Linked DNA regions of Tribolium castaneum. The protein of the gene in region 1 interacts with the protein of each later gene in a biochemical or structural test. Links are inferred from orthologs where the notes say so. Each region holds a gene or a part of one and is shown in the gene's direction. Other genes may lie near its edges. The genes, in order: Wee1, peptidyl-prolyl cis-trans isomerase NIMA-interacting 1, polo and Cdk1.

Region 1 (4,837 bases):
TATATATTTAAAAAAATGTCAATTCACACATTGGCTATTGTTAATTTATTAATTTGTTGTTTCAATTCGCATTAATTAGTTATGAGTTTGCCAAACGGGGCGCATTTCTTCCGTTTTGTTGTCAGGTAATTAATTAATTTTTCAGTTTATTGTACATAAATTTAGGTTGTTCCACCCCTTTATCAAAATAGTTATTGTACAAACAGTTAATTTCTCTAGTTGGAAAATATCAGTACATGATATTAATTGCCTTTTACGAAAAATAAACATATTTTCTATAAATTTGACACGGCTTTGGATTTGACACACCCATCCACGTGGTCGCGTTGCCATGCACACCGCCAATCGCGTCCTTGACACTCGTCACGTGGTCGCGTTGCCATGGCCTCCGCCAATAGGGCGGCATAAGTCGGGTCACGTGACTGAATTTGACACAAGGCGGGGAAAATATTTCATAAAATAACAAGCTATAGTTATATATTAAAAAAAACATCGATTCACACACTGGCTCTAATTAATTCGGATGTTGTTTCAATTCGCATTAATTAATTAGTTAGTTACGAGTTTGTTATATATAATTATTGTATATTATCCGTTTTATCGGGTATAAAAGTAGTTCAAATCTTAAGAGATAAATTTCTTCTTCTTCAAGAATATCAGTACATAATATAATTTGGCTTTTACGAAAAATAAACGTATTTTCTATAAATTTTACACGGCTTTTTTGACACACTCATCACGTGGTGGCGTTGCCATGGCCTCCGCCAATGAGCAGTGTGAGTCGGGTCACGTGACTGAATTGACACAGGGCGGGTAAAACATTTAATAAAATTGTACAAAATTAGACTTGTTCTAAGAGCGGAAAACCGTCTTCTCCTTGCGCGATCACAGCGTCGATGTTGTAGAACGAGGCATGTAAAGTAATAAGGAAAAATGAGGCTCCTAGGACCCAAAACATGGCCCCGTGGGCCCCCACCATGTAATAAACTGGCATGGAACATAGTGCTACCACTCCATAAACTTGTGCCAAAGTCAATTCTTTTTTAAAAAGCACGATTTTCTTCTCTTGGTGCCTTTTGTTAAGCTTGTAGCCTGCGTAAAAAGTCCCAGCAAGGGCGAATAGAATCAAAGGCGAGGTTATTCTGAAAGTAGAATTTTGGGGTTGGTGCTCACACTGAGGGGCTCCTTACAAGCAATAAACAACCAAACCGAGGAAAACAAATAAATAATTGCTCTGGAAGTACTCGATGTTTCTCATAATTCGTTTGCTGAGTCTTGGGACTGAAGGGGGCGTCTTGAAGTTGGAAGTTTGTATGAATAATAGCCAGGGACGCACGTTTTGTCTTTGTTTACTAAACCATTCTTTCGGGTCCGGTATTTGGGTCGGAACTTGCAGAAAACTAGAAAATTCTAGAATTGAGGTTAGGTCGCTTAAAAATCTCATACCTTGAAAACGGGGTCCGTGGTGAATTTTCAGGGGGCGACATCACCCCCGACACATCCACGGACACGTCTGCCATGACAAGGGGGCTGTTTTCTGTAATTAGGTCACCAGTCCTGTCACTTGCCCACTTGTGGCTTACCTATCACCAAATTTGTCGCCCACCCTTGCAATAACAAATCAGTCACCCCTCTGAGCGTCTTTGACACAGTGGATAAGTAAATGAGCCCCAGTTGTGGTGATTCAAACACCACCGACGTGTCACTTTTCAAACCTCGCGCCGTCGTCAAATTGACACTAAAATGGCGTCCGCCCGCGGCCAATCAGCGCGTAGCTTCGCGCGTTGTGATTGGTCGACTCAAACCCCAGATGCGTCGATTTTCGTAACCGTTTCCGTGTCGAAAATAGAGCGTGTGTTTGTTTTTTTGCGAATTTTGGGCGTTTTTTGTGCGTGAGAAATGTCTGAAGTGCGCCGGAAGACTCCCGAGATCACGTTTGACTCGGAGCCCCCCAACGATCTGGACTCGTCGTCAGGTTGTGAGCTGTCTTTCGAACTTTCGAGTGACTATGTACGCAGCCCCTCACCGAGGCGTTCAGCTTCGTCCAACCCGACATACAGCCCCCCGTACAAGCGGGTGCGAGCGCTGCGACTGTTCGACAGCCCTCTCACCCCCAAGACTATCATACAGAAGTCGGCCACGACGCCGGCCCCCAGGTGTCGGCTCTTCACGGAGAAGCCGCGCAGTGTCACCAACACCAAGCAGAAGCCGGTGGCCAACGTCAACCCCTTCACACCAAACGGTAACGATTTCATTATTTCATTGAGGGGCGCCTCCTGTTTTTTAGCACCATGGCAAGTCGTAACAGGAACTTCAATGAATTTATTTCACCAAAGAAATTATGGCAAAAACTTGCTCCTATTTTAAGGGCAATAATGTAAAGTTTGATAAATCATCTGCCGTCCTGCTATAATAGTGGCAAATTAAAAAAAAATAACTTTTAGAGAAAGTTATGTGGTTGTTAATTCAATGTTTAGCCGCATTTATACATATTTTTTATGTTTACAACTTTTCAAAAAGTAGTTTATTTAACCAGTCTTTTAGAATGTCTCTTTACCCAAATTGTTTAACTTAAAAATATCGTTTTTTAAGGGCAATTTATGACGTGAGTACTATACTATCTAAAATAACGTAAAAAATTTATATTGCCATATACTGTGTTTTCATTGGCTCACTTTTTACAAATACTACTTAATACTACTACTTCAATACTCAATGCTACTACTTAAAGCAAATATCAGATGTTCATTATTAAAAAAAACTCCCAGCATTGCCTGATATTTTTACGGATGTCTTGGAGCAATTTTTATCATTGTATTGTTGGTTGCCTACGAAACCAGCTCATTAGAATTTGTAACCAAAATTGATAAATAGTCGATCTGTTATGTGTATTGAACAACAAGAAATACATTCCCAACAGTTTTGATAAATAATAAATATTTTTATGAAAATCCGTTGTCTTTTTAATTGTCATAAAGTAAGGTTATGAGAGAACGAAATATCATAGACATACAAAATAATTGATTTTTAATTTCAATTCACTCTAGAGTGTTTTTTTAATGAACACTTGTTACAATTTCAAGCAGTTTTTAGTACAACAGTAAGTAATTAATAATAATATTACAAATATTAACATTTACGAGATAAATTTATGTAATAACCCAAGATAGAGAGATGTGGCCAATCTAACTAACTAAAAGTTCAATTAAAAGTGATATTATTATGTAAATTGTATTTCCTGATAATTAAATTATAAAATATAGCTTTTTTACATCTACAGGGTGAGTCAATAGTGGGTTGTGTCTGAATTTTCATAAATATGCAACCGATAATACCGATTCCAGCTAACGAGATCGGTAATCGTTAAAAAAAATAATCCAAGATTACATTGTTCTGGATATTGTCAAGATTGTCTTGACAGTTTTGTTAAAATTTCATTATGGAATATTATTATTTAAAAGATAAAAATCCAATGATGATTCAATTAATGTTTTTAAAACTCAAAGTTCCAAGTGGTAAGTGCAATTATAGTGGCGGTCAGCTCGATTTGCGTGTGCGTCATCAATTTCATTTTTTCATTACCAACACAAAGCTGTAAAAAAATTGTCAAAAACAATGCAAATTTAAACAACTAAGGGGTATCTAAGGGTGGTATCCTTGAACATTAATATACATGTGCACTTCGACAACACCGTTAAGTGTCACGAATTTGTCAACCTGACATTGACAGTAAATCATAGACGTCGTCGCATGGTTGTCGAAAGTGTTATCGGTGTTAATCGCAAGTATTTTTCGTTCGTTTATTGTGTTTTGGGATTTGCGTTTCGTTAGGTTTTTGATTCTGCGTTTATTAGTTCTTGTTTTGTGAATCTGTATTTTTTGTATTTTTTTAATTTAAACACTTCGTAACCTCAAAAAATATTTGATAGTTTGTCACCGCTATGGCCCTGCTATGTAAACGTAGTGACAGAAATGTCAGATGACGCACACGCAAATGGAGCTGAGCGCTACCATAGTATTTTTGGTTGCATTTTAGCACATGTCAGAAATAACCCACTATTAACTCACCGTGTATATGAGTTATTTTTACTTAAACATATGGAGTACAATCGATCGTCTCTAAGATATTTTGTGGAATTTACTTTGGAAAAGGAATGTTCTATTGCAGTTACTGTTTAAAAAAAAAAATGAATTTAAGCGTGAAAATAAAGCAAAAAGTGTTAAAAAATTGTTGGTTGCTGTGTTTTTGCTTGGGACAGCCGACTGTATGCAGTGTACTGTCGTTAAGAAAAATAGGCAATGCCGTTGTTTTTATTTTTTTTTTATTTCGAGATGCTTCTGTTTAAACCAGTTTTTGCTTTCACAAAGTACTCACTGATACTGAAATGTTTACTTGCTAAAAACTAAAATTTAAAAAGCAAATTAGGCAAATAGATTTGGGATCAATTTCAGAACAATTATTAATTAGAACAAAATTTGCCCACCTAAAAAAACTTACGATATTTTGAATTTTTACAACTTTGCAGAAACATAAATTACGTAAAAATTAGTAACCGTTAAAAGATTGGTTCATGATTTTTTTGTAAAAAAGGTTAAAAAAATTAAGTTAAAAAAACGTAAGTTTCGTTTTCTTTGATTTTTGAAATAAAGCCCTCTGATTTAGAAAACTGATTGGTTTCTATAGAAACCAATAAAAAGGATTTTGAATCAGATTTAGATTCGAATTAAATTACGAAGATCATCCACATTTTTTTTGTAACTCACTGAGAAACGAAAGACTTTATAAACTCTGAGAAGTTTTAATTTAATTCTTCTAATCAAAATAGAGGAATTTTGT
Region 2 (3,423 bases), on another chromosome or scaffold:
TATTATCGACATCATACAATAGACTTGAAGATAAATTTGCAACTCGTTTTAATGCCTGCATGAACAACTCAAACAAGTAACTATTTTTAAAGTCAGAATATGCAACTGCATTTGTTATTTGACCAACTGTTTTACAAAAATACGTAGCGCACTTTGAATGATTACCAAAAATATGTGCAGGTCCATTTAAAATATCATTTTTCAGGTTTTCTGCTTTTTGATCGAAAGTACAGTTTTCGTTTTTTCTGTATTTTATCGCTGAAACAATTGCGGTTCTAAATTTCAAATAATTGTTGCGCAAAAAAGTTTTTATATTTATGTCAGAACGAGGAGTTTTAGCGATTTCTCTAATTTTAGTACAAAAATTTCGTAGTATATGATTTCGGCATTCAATTTTTTTAATAAAATAATTAGGCCCGTATGGTCTTGCATTACGAATTTTTTTGTAGACGCTACTATCACCATCTCCTATGAGGTTTTTAAATCTTACGTTATGCATGTCTACTGATTTTTTAAATCCATCCAAAATAATTGCTGCTTCCATTGAAGTTGAAGTGTTTTTCCAATTTTTAAAACATTTATGAGGGGGCGTCGTTTGGTTTTTTTTCTTATAATACATACATTTTTTACAATTTTTATTTTTAACTCCCACGTATAAAATTTTTTTAGTCCTTGCACCGACTATTGTTGCAACACCAGAAGATGCGTTATATTTTAAAGAAATACACAAAATTTATATAATGTAAGAGTAACGCAGCTATATCTTCGCAAGCTAGTTATAGAAAAATTGTATAAATTTAATAAAAAAACGAGAAATAATTCCTAAATTCTAAAATAATACATAATTATAAAAGTATCATTTATTTTACAAGGCGTAACGTAAACAAATTATATCCCTAAGACTGGATCTTACAATCTCTCGATACGTTATTTGTACTATAATTATTACTGGGTATAGTTAGAATAAATTTTTACAACAATGTATTTTTCAGAATTTATTACCTGGATAAAATTATCAGACGAAAAAGCGGGTTTAATGAAGTTTTCATCATTTTAATGAGATATTCCTAGTAACTTTTTTAAAGTTAAACTGTTTTCTGAAAGAACAATAATGTTTCACCAATTAATTTTTTTATTTTATATTTTTTCAATGCAAGTGATCCAATTAGAAATGCACATGACACATAATATAGCGAACAGAATTCGGTTAATTAAAACATAAAACCCAATAAATAAATGGTGTAATGGTGTATTATTTTTTACAAAACTATGCTAGTATTTTATTATTCTTTAGTATCAAATTTTTTTAACAAAATAAAAAACGTCTTTTTTACTGTATGTTGCTTGAATCTCTGAAATAAGAGAAACTATCGTGGGCGATAGTGGAATTCAGTTTGTTTACATTATTTGCATTTTATGAGAAGGGACAAGACACCCCGAGGCGAAGGTCGGATGCCTATCCGATGATTGACAGCTGTCACTGAAAACAGGTCTAAAAAAGTATGCAACTTGTAGTACACCAATTCTCAACAATCGCTTCGGTACCCTGAAGCCTTAAGAGAAGTTTGTGTTTTTCAGTTTTTCTCAATATTGAACGTCTTTAGTGTTGGCAACCAACCATACAATCGCTTATTTTGTTGGTGTGAAAGTGGTTTGTGTCCGGGTATTTCCGGAAACTGAAGGAGCTAACTCGTGTAGCTGTCTTCACAGAAATAAAGCCTCGAGTGAAGTTAGCCGATAAATAAACACGCATTCTAGGAAAATGGCGGACGAACAGTTGCCTACTGGGTGGGAAAAGCGGTTAAGTCGGTCAACCGGTAATTCGGTTAAGTTTTAATCATTCTCCCTTGACTCAAAACGTGTATTTTAGGCCAACACTACTACCTGAACGTTTACACCAAAGAGTCCCAATGGGACGTTCCCGACAAACCGGCAGAACCTGTGTCTTCGAGCGGCCCCGAACAAGTCCAGTGCTCACATTTACTCGTCAAACACAAAGACTCGCGAAGACCGTCCTCTTGGCGAGAGGAGAACATCACAAGGACTAAAGACGAAGCCTTGGAATTAGTCAAATGTGAGTGTTTTTGGCCAAGAAATGTCACCACTTTTGAACGTTTTTTCAGCGTATCGCGAACAAATCGTCCAGGGCAAGGCCTCGTTTGCTGACTTAGCCTCAAAGTACTCGGATTGCTCGTCTGCTAAACGAGGGGGCGACCTTGGCTCGTTCAAACGGGGGGCCATGCAGAAGCCCTTTGAGGAGGCGTCGTTTGCGCTCAAGGTTGGGGAGTTGTCAGAACCTGTCTTTACCGATTCGGGGGTGCATATTATTCTGCGTACTGTTTAGATTTGTACTCTTTCTAGACCATTTTTACATTTATTATAAGTTCATTCATGTTCTTTCAGGTCTTGTTAACGTAATTTATGATGCATCTATGCCAAACAAATTCATATTTATATATATTGCGATGAGATTGGAGCTGTAAATTTAGTGTAAATTTCTTTTATATTGTACTTTTTACTTATTAATGAGGTAACTTATTCCTGATACTTTTGTTATTTTGTTTATGCACAATAAAGAGCCCTAAGCACTCCTGTTAGCCCGGATTTTATTCCAGAATCAAAAGTAAAACATTTGCTAAGATGCAAGCATAATACAAGTGAGGATGAGAAGATTTAAATCAATAATAGGTAATAACTATCTTTTATTTTCAAAGTGCCTTTCGCGTAGTTACAATAGTTCGAAACTACTAATACACACAGATTTTTTTACACAAAAAGTATTGTTGCAACGTTTTGCTTGTACACCATTAAATTTTATTGAGATTACTTCAAACCAGGATGTAGTCTTTCAGACGAACCGATCGGTATCGTAAATATCTTTTGGTCACCGTTGTCGAAACATCTTATTTTGAGGATTGTTTATCATAAACAGCATTAACTGCTGTAAAACGTTATGGTGTAACTACAAAGAAAACGATGCTTCAATAATAATCAATACAGGGTCTTCCACGTAATTTTACAAGGCCTGCGCCTGTAAAATGCAATCAACAATACATATTCCAATACGAACTCGATTACAAATTTTGAAAGATTGGATCTCTAGCTTGTTCATCCCTTCAAAAAATTGCAACACTTTTAATTAGTCGGTGATTAAGTTAGGTGGATTAGAATCATATTTATTCCGTTTCTTGTTAGAACACATGAAAATTGTTTCTGAAAAACATTTTATGAACATTAATGAAACAGTGATTAGTGCCCACCTAAAAAATCTCTACGATATTTTGAATACTTGCAACTTTGCATAAACATAAATTACATTCTAAAAATAAGTAACCGTTAAAAGATTGGTCCATGTTTTTTTGTAAAAAAAGTGAAAAAATTTTGTTAAAAAAACGTAAGTATCGTTTTCGTTTATTTTGGAAA
Region 3 (4,818 bases), on another chromosome or scaffold:
GACTCTCATTAAAGCATTTGAAAATTTGAGTACAACTATATAGACCAAAATTTAGCCGTTTTTTTTACTTTTCAAAAATCCATAACTTTGTCGTTTAAAAAAAATGTAAATCCTTTTATGGTTAATTGAAAGACAAATTTTTTTGAAGTTTTTTTCCCAAAAGAATACCTCCAGTATTTAAGAAGATTTTTAAGTTTGCAGAACTTCAAACACCCATAACTAAAAATTTTCAAATGAAATGCCATCATTTTTTCCTATACTTTTGTTTAACAGTTTTCATGCGGATTTTTTGTTGATATTGTATGTAGGGATGTAGGTAAATGAAATTATGGAATCAAAGTTTTTCAAATCCAAATTCAATGAATTCATTTTGTTTTAACGGAAAGGAAAACAAAATTTTGAACAGAATTTATCGTTTATTCAATGAAATGTTTCTTTGTCAAACTGCGCAAAAATATCTGTGGCTAGCAATGTCAAAAAAATTAACATAACTTGAAAATTATCACAAATAAGCATAAGAAATGCCAACACAGATCGTTGCAGAATTAAATTTTCTTCTATTTAGTGAAATAAAAACTTATAGCATGTAGAAGCTGTCCAAAAATAACGTTAAGATTTTGGATTTTGTAAACTTTTTTGAACACACTGAAGGAAAGATTTAGGCTTTGTTTTTGATTGGCCAAATACTGTTTCTAAAATTCTAAAAATAGCAGAATTTACGATTATTGAAGTGAAAGGTGCAAATCCAAAAATTTCCAAAAAATTCTGATTATTTAGAAAATAGCTAAATTTAGGAATAGGAAAAAGCTAATAAAAAAGTTCATAGCGATTTTCGATACAATCGGAAGTGCCGCCATTTTGAAAATATTTTCAATCAATGAGCTATGGCTCTAGGCTAATTTTCAGATAAATGTTATTATCAAAACTTTCAGTACTTTTTTCAATACTCCGAAACTTAGTTTAGACAGAACACTTTGTATTCGTCAAACATTTTCTCGTTTATTATTAAACTCTAATAAAAATAAGTCAAAATAAATTTCCCGTGTGCCTTTTTTTTTCCTCGAAAACCAAGTGCAGTAATAATAATTGCCAGATTTATTTTTTTGTGAAAAAACAGTGTTCTCATAAATCATACACATTCGATGTTGCATAACAGATGACGCTTTGCAGTTTTGACTTCCCCAAAAATAAAAATACGTACATGTTTATGGTGTTTTTGAAAAAGTGTAGACAACGCAAAGTTAAAATTTTATATTTTATAAATTTTTATAAAACGTATAAAATTTGTCTAGGAAGAACAAGAATTTTAGGAGTAGGCCTTCGCCCTGCCTGAATGCGCGGCCTACAGTCCTGTATAAATTTCTGTTTAGTTTTTTTTTAATATTAATTGTTAGGTTGTTAGCTAGGCAACGCCCTCAGCAGAAGCATTTTGTGAGTTGCATAACACATAAATCAATGTTTTGATAGACTAAATTTAAAATACGGTCAAGATCAGCGTTTGGCCCAATTTTTGATCGACCAAACCAAAGTTGTTGAGTCAATATAAACCACTTTGTGTATTTTATTGTGGTCTATTTTTGTTTGGTGGTTAGAGATCGCGTTCTGCAAGTAGTCACTTCCGTTGACAATTCTTTTTTCCCCACCATTTTCCTGTCCAATCAGCCAATCAGCTGCCGGCGTTTGAAATCTTCTCAACTGCCAAAAGTTTTTCAAGCCGTGGTGGATGCTTGCCGTAAAAACCCAACCAAACGCAATAACTGTGAATAAAACTAGGAGTAATTAGTGAAAATGTCGAAAGTGGACGATTATGTCGTAGTTCCCGACTATATATACGACGAGAACACGAAAATTAGGTACAAAAAGGGGCAGTTCTTCGGCAAGGTTAGTGTTGTTTTTGTCGATGGGTTCATGTGATAGTGGCCGTTTTTTCTTAGGGCGGATTTGCAAAATGCTACGAAATTACGAATGTGGCCAACAGCCAAACGTTCGCCGGGAAAGTCGTCTCGAAAAAGCTGATAGTCAAGGAAAACCAGAAGGAGAAAATGACTCAGGAGATACAGATACACAAGTCGTTGAAACACAAAAATATTGTCGGTTTTTATAGTTTTTTCGAGGATACGGACAATATTTATATAGTTTTGGAGCTGTGCAGAAAGCGGGTGAGTTTTTGGCCCTTTAAACTGCGTCTGTTTCCTGGTTGTTATCGCTGCTCACTCTGTATTATGGGAAACTATAATATTGATAGTTTTATCACCAAAACTAATATTTAAACTGATGTCTGTCATGGCCAATGGTTGCACAAACAAAGAGCTAAATTAATTGGTAAATTAAACAACAGTCCACCTCTTTAAGACACTGTAGTTTGTATAATTAATTATTCATGTTGGTATCACTTGTGGCGCTTATACTTGGGTTTCTAAGTTAGGGAGGTAGTTCTAACTACAGTTTCCAGGTTTATTAATTTCAAAACCTCTTTTGACTCAAGTCGTAATGGAAAAGATTGTAGCAAAAAAATTATATTAAAATACCATTTTTATTGTACATAAATAAGAAGGGTAAATTATGAATGGGGGCTATGATGGGGGCTCGTAGATGACTTTGGTACCTTAGGCCCTAGTTGGTATTCCTTAAAACCTTTGATAAATTTACAAGTAAACAAAGTGCTTGCCAAAGTTTTTTGGAAAATATTTCAGAAAGCAAACACAGTTATTGATAAAATTGTGTTACTCTTATCTTTTGAGCTTCCTAGCTGAAAAATCATGAAATTAAAGCGAAATTTATTTAATTTAGCTTATTTTATTCGATTTTGCTCGTTTTTTTCCAAGCCAGTAAACACGTGTTTGAACTTACATTCTTAGTTTCTTGTAAAAATCACTAAATTTACTGAAACATTTTTTTTCCTTTTCCATTTACAGCCAATAAAGGAATTATCCCTGAAAATTGTGTACACGAGATAAAAACTAAGTTTTTTTTTTAGAAAAATTTACGCGAAAATGTGATTATTTCAACCAGAGATTCATTTATTGCACAAGAACTTTTTACAACAATAAATCTTAATCAAAAGTAATGTTATTTCTGCCTGTTTTTGAGCATTTAAGCATGTTTTAGAGCTAAAACCTGTTTTTTGAGACCGAAAAATTACCAGTTTGAATCCAAAATTATTTCGTTTTTTTTTTTTTCACCAGCAACGCAAATTTTTCGCGAAATCTCTTAAAAACAAGTCGAAAAGTCACCCAAAACATATACTAAAATGGGTGTTATTTTAGTGTTCTTCGACTTTCATTGAGTTAAAAATTAAGTTTTTTTCAAAAAATATACCTAAAAGTGGATGAAAATTCACCGAATATATCGAAATTTTTATTTTATATTTTTTAGTTCGAGGCTGATTTATTTGGAATTGATGTCAGTTTTTTTCGATTTATCACGTTTTTGGGCGAAATTTCATCAATAGTAAGCTTAAAAGATAAAAGTTTGGTCGCAAAGTGTGTTATTTTTATATTTTCTAAGCAAGTGTTTGGAGTTTCTTATGAATTTTCTAAATTTAGCTGAGTAAAATATTCTTTTTTCTTTTCCAAATGGTATTTTGTAATGAACAAACCGAAATTTCACCAAGTCACACTGAAAATTGTGTGAATTCTGAGTTTTTCGAATATTTAAACATGTTTTGAGATATTAACTAAATTTTTTTTAGAAAAATTTTGCTAAAGGTAGGTAAAAATTAGAATATTTTAACCAGAGATTCAATTATTAATTAATACTCAAAAATTTTTTACAACAATAAATTCTGATCAAAAATAACGTTATTTCTGCCTTTCTTGAGTATTTAGACATGTTTTAGGGCTAAAATCTCTATTTTTTTTGCTAGAAGTGACCGAAAATTAAAAATTTAAATCTAAAATTATTTCGTTTTGTCTTTTTTTAGCACGTTTAAAAAAACAGACCGAAAAGTCACCTAATTTTACTAAAATGGGTGTTACTTTAGTATTCTTCAACTCTTGAGTTTTTTTTTTTTTTCGAAAAATTTACCGAGAAATGGATGAAACATCTCCGAATTAGATCAAAATTGAAGTTGTCTTATATTTTTCTAAGTTCAGACTGATTTACTTTGCTAGAACTTGTTAAAAGACTCGTAAAAATCACAAAATAAATAGACATTGAGTTTTTTTCGATTTATCGCGTTTTTTAGCAAAATTTTGTTATAATAGGCCGATAAACCACAGCATTTAGTCGAAAAGCATGTTGTGTTTGCGAGTGGTTGACACCAGTGGCGTATCCACAGGGGTTCCGTGGAACCCGGGCCCGGAGCCTAAAAGGGCCCGCAAGCTTCAAGAGCTCTTCGATTCAAATTTTAATGAAAAAAATTGTTTCTAAATTTATCCCAGGCAATAGGCGATTGTTGTAAAGTATAGTCTGCAATTGTAAAGCGATACGGTCTAAATAATACTACGAATTCATAAAAATGTCTACGTTAGTCGAAGCATTAATTGACAGAACGTGTTACAAATTCACAACAAAATGTTAAATAAAAAAGTCACCAACGATAAGGGCACAAAAGGTTTATTTTACCTACAACCAATTAAATTATATCCAATTATAATCAGCTCGGATTTTGTTATTCTCATTTAGTTCTTTAAAGAGTGTTGGTTAAGTGAAGATGTAAATTGTCGTACTTTATTTTAACAATTTATTTACCTAAAATTTATATTTTAAGTGTCGTGTAAAATGAGTAGCTACAAACTTATCTGATATAATGCTGAAATTACCAAAAATTGACAGTTTTTCTGTAAAAGAAAGTGAAAAAAGTTTAATCTGTAAATT
Region 4 (3,901 bases), about 9.1 Mb from region 1:
TGATCTTTTGGCCAAGGAAGGTATAATGGCCTTAAGACGAGCCAAAAGACGCAACATGGAAAGATTGGCTTTGGCTTGTGGTGGAATCGCTTTAAATCATTTCGATGATATGCAAGAATCGCAATTGGGTTATGCTGGAGTTGTCTATGAACATGTTTTGGGCGAAAATAAATATACTTTCGTTGAGGAATGCAAAATACCACAGTCGGTCACCATTCTTATTAAAGGGCCCAATAAACACACTCTCACTCAAATCAAGGATGCTGTGAGGGATGGATTAAGGGCCATCAATAATGCCATAGAGGACAAAGCCTTGATTCCAGGTAATAAAAAGACAAAACTGAATTAAAAAAAAATTAAATTATCCTTTTTATGAGTTTCTACATGGGAATTTTTGCTGAATTTCATCATAAATCTCCCAAAAAATCACCAAATTTGTGTATTTTTTAAATTTTGTAGTCAAGAATTGTAAAAAATCTAAACTATCGTTAAATTTAGGCCGTTTTTCAAGCATATTTGCACAAAACTACAAAATTAAGCCCAGCATTATATTATTTTTGAACTTTTTTTAAGGTTCCAGCGCATTATTTTTCAGTCAGAAACTCACTCATTTCCCGAAATTAACAAAATATCTAGTTGCTTAATGGATGACGTCACAGTCATTTTGTGACGCGTCTTAAAAATGTGCGTTACTAGGCTTTGAAATTGTAAATAGGGGTCAATGACCTGACCTGGCCACACAATTGTTAATTTATTAGACTCACAATGCGTTTTCCGTTTAAAATAGAGCTCAAAAATTGAATTTACGAGTTGCTTCAACTACTCCCATCACCAAAAACCCAACTTCGGTACTTACTTGTCAATGTTGAAAATCGCCGTTTAGATCAACACATCGGAACACTGAAAGTCTTTGAACACTTTTGCACAAACATTTGCACGAAATAACCGATTTAACAGCGATTTTTCCCGAATTTACTAAGCGGTAAGCGGCCATCACGAAATTTGATGCACCGCCAATTGTTTCGCTACCAACCGTACCAATAAAATCACTAAATGTCATAGCGCTTAATTCAAATTGATTTTGCACACAAAACAGTTTTTTGTGATATTTTTCAGGCGCAGGGGCTTTTGAGGTGACCGCCCACAAAGAATTGATGGCTTACAAGGACACCGTTAAAGGAAAATCGCGTCTTGGAATTGGTGCTTACGCGGAAGCCCTTCTTGTAATTCCCAAAGTTTTGGCAACGAATTCTGGTTTCGATGCTCAGGTTTGTGTGATTTTCTCATTGATTGTTTTATAGTTATTTGTTGTTCTTAGGATACTATTGTAAAACTTCAAGAAGAATCTCGTAACAATAAGGAACCAATTGGGCTTGATTTAGCTTCAGGACAACCGATTAATCCGAAAGATGCCGGAATTTTCGATAATTACATCGTGAAGAAACAAATAATTAATTCGTGTTCGGTGATTGCAAGCAATTTATTGTTGGTTGATGAAATAATGAGAGCCGGAATGAGCAGTTTGAAAGGTTAAATGGATTTTTTTTGTCAGTAATTTTATTCACGTATTAATGCTTGATTTTGTAATTATTATACAACAATAATAAAGGATTTTAACACCCATTTTTTGGCCAAAGCTATTATTTGGCGATCGTATAGTAATTTTGTGTGTCTGAAGTTGGTAATGTGTGTCTATTTACGCCAAAAAAAAGACAGGTTATTGTGATTGACGTGAGTGCGATAGAGACGGGGATAATTGTACCCGATTGGTTGGTTCAAAAATCTCCAACGAACTTTCTCCATATTTCTTCAAACGAGCCGTTAAAAGTGTGTAAAAATTAACAAAACTCGTGTGCTTTGAATAAAATATCGTGTTTGTGGTCGTGTAGGCATTGCAATTTGACGTTATAAACGTCATTTTAAGTGGAAAGTTTGGTTATATTGGGGCAATGTCGAAACAGGGGGCCAACATGGATGACTTCCTCAAGATCGAAAAAATTGGTGAAGGCACTTACGGTGTGGTGTACAAGGGCAAAAACAAGAAGACGGGTCAGCTAGTCGCAATGAAAAAAATCCGACTGCAACCCGAAGACGAAGGTGTGCCTTCCACAGCCATTCGCGAAATCTCCCTCCTGAAGGAGCTCACACACCCCAATATAGTCTCCCTGGAAGACGTGATGATGGAAGAGAATCGTCTTTACCTAATTTTTGAATTTTTGTCAATGGACTTAAAGAAGTACCTCGACACCATCCCACAGGGCTCCTACATGGACCCCCAACTCGTCAAAAGCTACCTCTACCAAATCAACGAAGCCATTCTCTTCTGCCACCAAAGACGAGTCCTTCATCGCGACCTTAAGCCCCAAAATCTGCTCATCAACTCCGAAGGGGCTATCAAAGTGGCCGATTTTGGACTAGGGCGCGCCTTTGGGGTCCCGGTTCGCGTTTACACGCACGAAGTTGTCACTTTGTGGTACCGCGCCCCCGAGGTGCTCCTCGGCTCTGCACGTTACTCGTGCCCTATTGATATTTGGTCTCTGGGCTGCATTTTCGCCGAAATGGCCAACAAAAAAGCCCTTTTCCAAGGCGACTCCGAAATCGACCAACTTTTCCGCATTTTTCGGTAATCAAATCATGTAACTATAGAAACGAAAACAACTTGCATTTTTTTTCGATTCAGGGTTTTGAAAACACCAAGCGACGAAATCTGGCCAGGGGTGTCCACATTACCTGAATATAAGGTTACGTTCCCTAATTGGAAATCATGTACTTTGGAAAGTCAGGTAAAAAATATGACTAGCGACGCTATAGATTTGTTGAAACAAATGCTGATTTATGACCCGGCCAAGAGGATTTCGGCCAAAAAAATCGCTTTACATCCGTATTTGCAAAAGGTTGATACGTCAATAAAGCCGATCCTTAAATAAGCGGTTAGGTTTAGGTTTATCGTGTTTAGTATGACTATTTTCTAAATATATTTGTTTAAAAAATCTTTTGTGTTTGAAAACCTCCTTAATACATCATGCACGAGCTGCACGTGTATATTGCTATGGTGATGCGTCAATGTAGCTATGGTAACAGTGAAAGGAAATGCGGGACAGTGGCGCAACATAAAGCAGATCATTTGGGAACATAGTTTTAATGAAACAATTGAAATAAATACATTTTGTGCAATTCAACAACGTCTAGAAAAATAAATTGTACCCTAAAGTTTAATTAAGCGTTGAAATGTTTTTTGTGTGAATTAATTTGTGCCATTTAGGCATTTATTTAAAAAATTGCATACGCTACTCACGTAACTTTCTTTATTTTCGGTGTAGTGTTTAACATGAGGACTTGTTTCGTAACAGAGAGTTGTTACATCGATACCCAGAGATTTTCGATAGTTGGCGAAATATTCAATATCCTTGAAAAAAAAAAAAAGATGATTGGCTACAATAGTTAAGATGGTTACCGTATAAGGAATAAGAATGTCTTTTTTCGAGTAGATAAAATGTTGGGGACAGTTGTTTTTATCATCTTTCAAGTTTTCTAACGGGTTCGATTGGAACGTTTTTTTCGGACTGATGTAATTGCTAACAACCTACAATAATAAATCAAGGAATATTTAAAGTTTTTGGTGCGAACGCACCTCGTATAACCAAATCATAGACAAAAACATAGTCATGAGGACTGAAGCGGGAATATTGTAAAGGGGCCTTCCACCCAAAATTGCCGAAATGGCCCGAAACAGACTCAGAACGCGACGTTTTCCGGGCGCTGAGTCGAAAATCACTCCTTTTATCTGCACAAACAGTACATTTTGTCCGATACTTTAAACAAACATTTTATGGCAAAGTTAACAGCATTTCAAGGCTTATTTTTGTATCTCATGAATAATCATTATACATGGAAAGTTTTA

What was found.
Region 2: the proteins of Wee1 (region 1) and peptidyl-prolyl cis-trans isomerase NIMA-interacting 1 form a complex in vitro, tested with the Homo sapiens proteins (2 studies listed by BioGRID, with this or other methods). The link is inferred for Tribolium castaneum from reciprocal best matches to the Homo sapiens genes WEE1 and PIN1.
Region 3: the proteins of Wee1 (region 1) and polo form a complex in vitro, tested with the Homo sapiens proteins (2 studies listed by BioGRID, with this or other methods). The link is inferred for Tribolium castaneum from reciprocal best matches to the Homo sapiens genes WEE1 and PLK1.
Region 4: of the proteins of Wee1 (region 1) and Cdk1, one has a biochemical effect on the other in vitro, tested with the Homo sapiens proteins (5 studies listed by BioGRID, with this or other methods). The link is inferred for Tribolium castaneum from reciprocal best matches to the Homo sapiens genes WEE1 and CDK1.

Annotation. Positions count from the first base shown.
Region 1 is NC_087401.1:8,448,090-8,452,926, reverse strand, and holds the start of Wee1 (wee1-like protein kinase), read left to right. Parts: upstream 1-1,775; 5' UTR 1,776-1,899; coding exon 1,900-2,242; intron 2,243-4,837. Other genes in the region: prenylated Rab acceptor protein 1, read right to left, coding at 842-1,142, 1,191-1,400, 1,447-1,520. UniProt on the Homo sapiens protein: Acts as a negative regulator of entry into mitosis (G2 to M transition) by protecting the nucleus from cytoplasmically activated cyclin B1-complexed CDK1 before the onset of mitosis by mediating phosphorylation of CDK1 on 'Tyr-15'.
Region 2 is NC_087394.1:12,589,386-12,592,808, reverse strand, and holds peptidyl-prolyl cis-trans isomerase NIMA-interacting 1, read left to right. Parts: upstream 1-1,659; 5' UTR 1,660-1,762; coding exon 1,763-1,817; intron 1,818-1,870; coding exon 1,871-2,074; intron 2,075-2,123; coding exon 2,124-2,344; 3' UTR 2,345-2,597; downstream 2,598-3,423. UniProt on the Homo sapiens protein: Peptidyl-prolyl cis/trans isomerase (PPIase) that binds to and isomerizes specific phosphorylated Ser/Thr-Pro (pSer/Thr-Pro) motifs.
Region 3 is NC_087398.1:11,007,643-11,012,460, reverse strand, and holds the start of polo (serine/threonine-protein kinase polo), read left to right. Parts: upstream 1-1,653; 5' UTR 1,654-1,788; coding exon 1,789-1,881; intron 1,882-1,934; coding exon 1,935-2,159; intron 2,160-4,818. UniProt on the Homo sapiens protein: Serine/threonine-protein kinase that performs several important functions throughout M phase of the cell cycle, including the regulation of centrosome maturation and spindle assembly, the removal of cohesins from chromosome arms, the inactivation of anaphase-promoting complex/cyclosome (APC/C) inhibitors, and the regulation of mitotic exit and cytokinesis.
Region 4 is NC_087401.1:17,534,332-17,538,232, reverse strand, and holds Cdk1 (cyclin-dependent kinase 1), read left to right. Parts: upstream 1-1,741; 5' UTR 1,742-1,949; coding exon 1,950-2,623; intron 2,624-2,680; coding exon 2,681-2,927; 3' UTR 2,928-2,994; downstream 2,995-3,901. Other genes in the region: CCT6 (T-complex protein 1 subunit zeta), read left to right, coding at 1-323, 1,117-1,268, 1,319-1,534; transmembrane protein 53, read right to left, coding at 3,245-3,406, 3,455-3,583, 3,632-3,784. UniProt on the Homo sapiens protein: Plays a key role in the control of the eukaryotic cell cycle by modulating the centrosome cycle as well as mitotic onset; promotes G2-M transition via association with multiple interphase cyclins.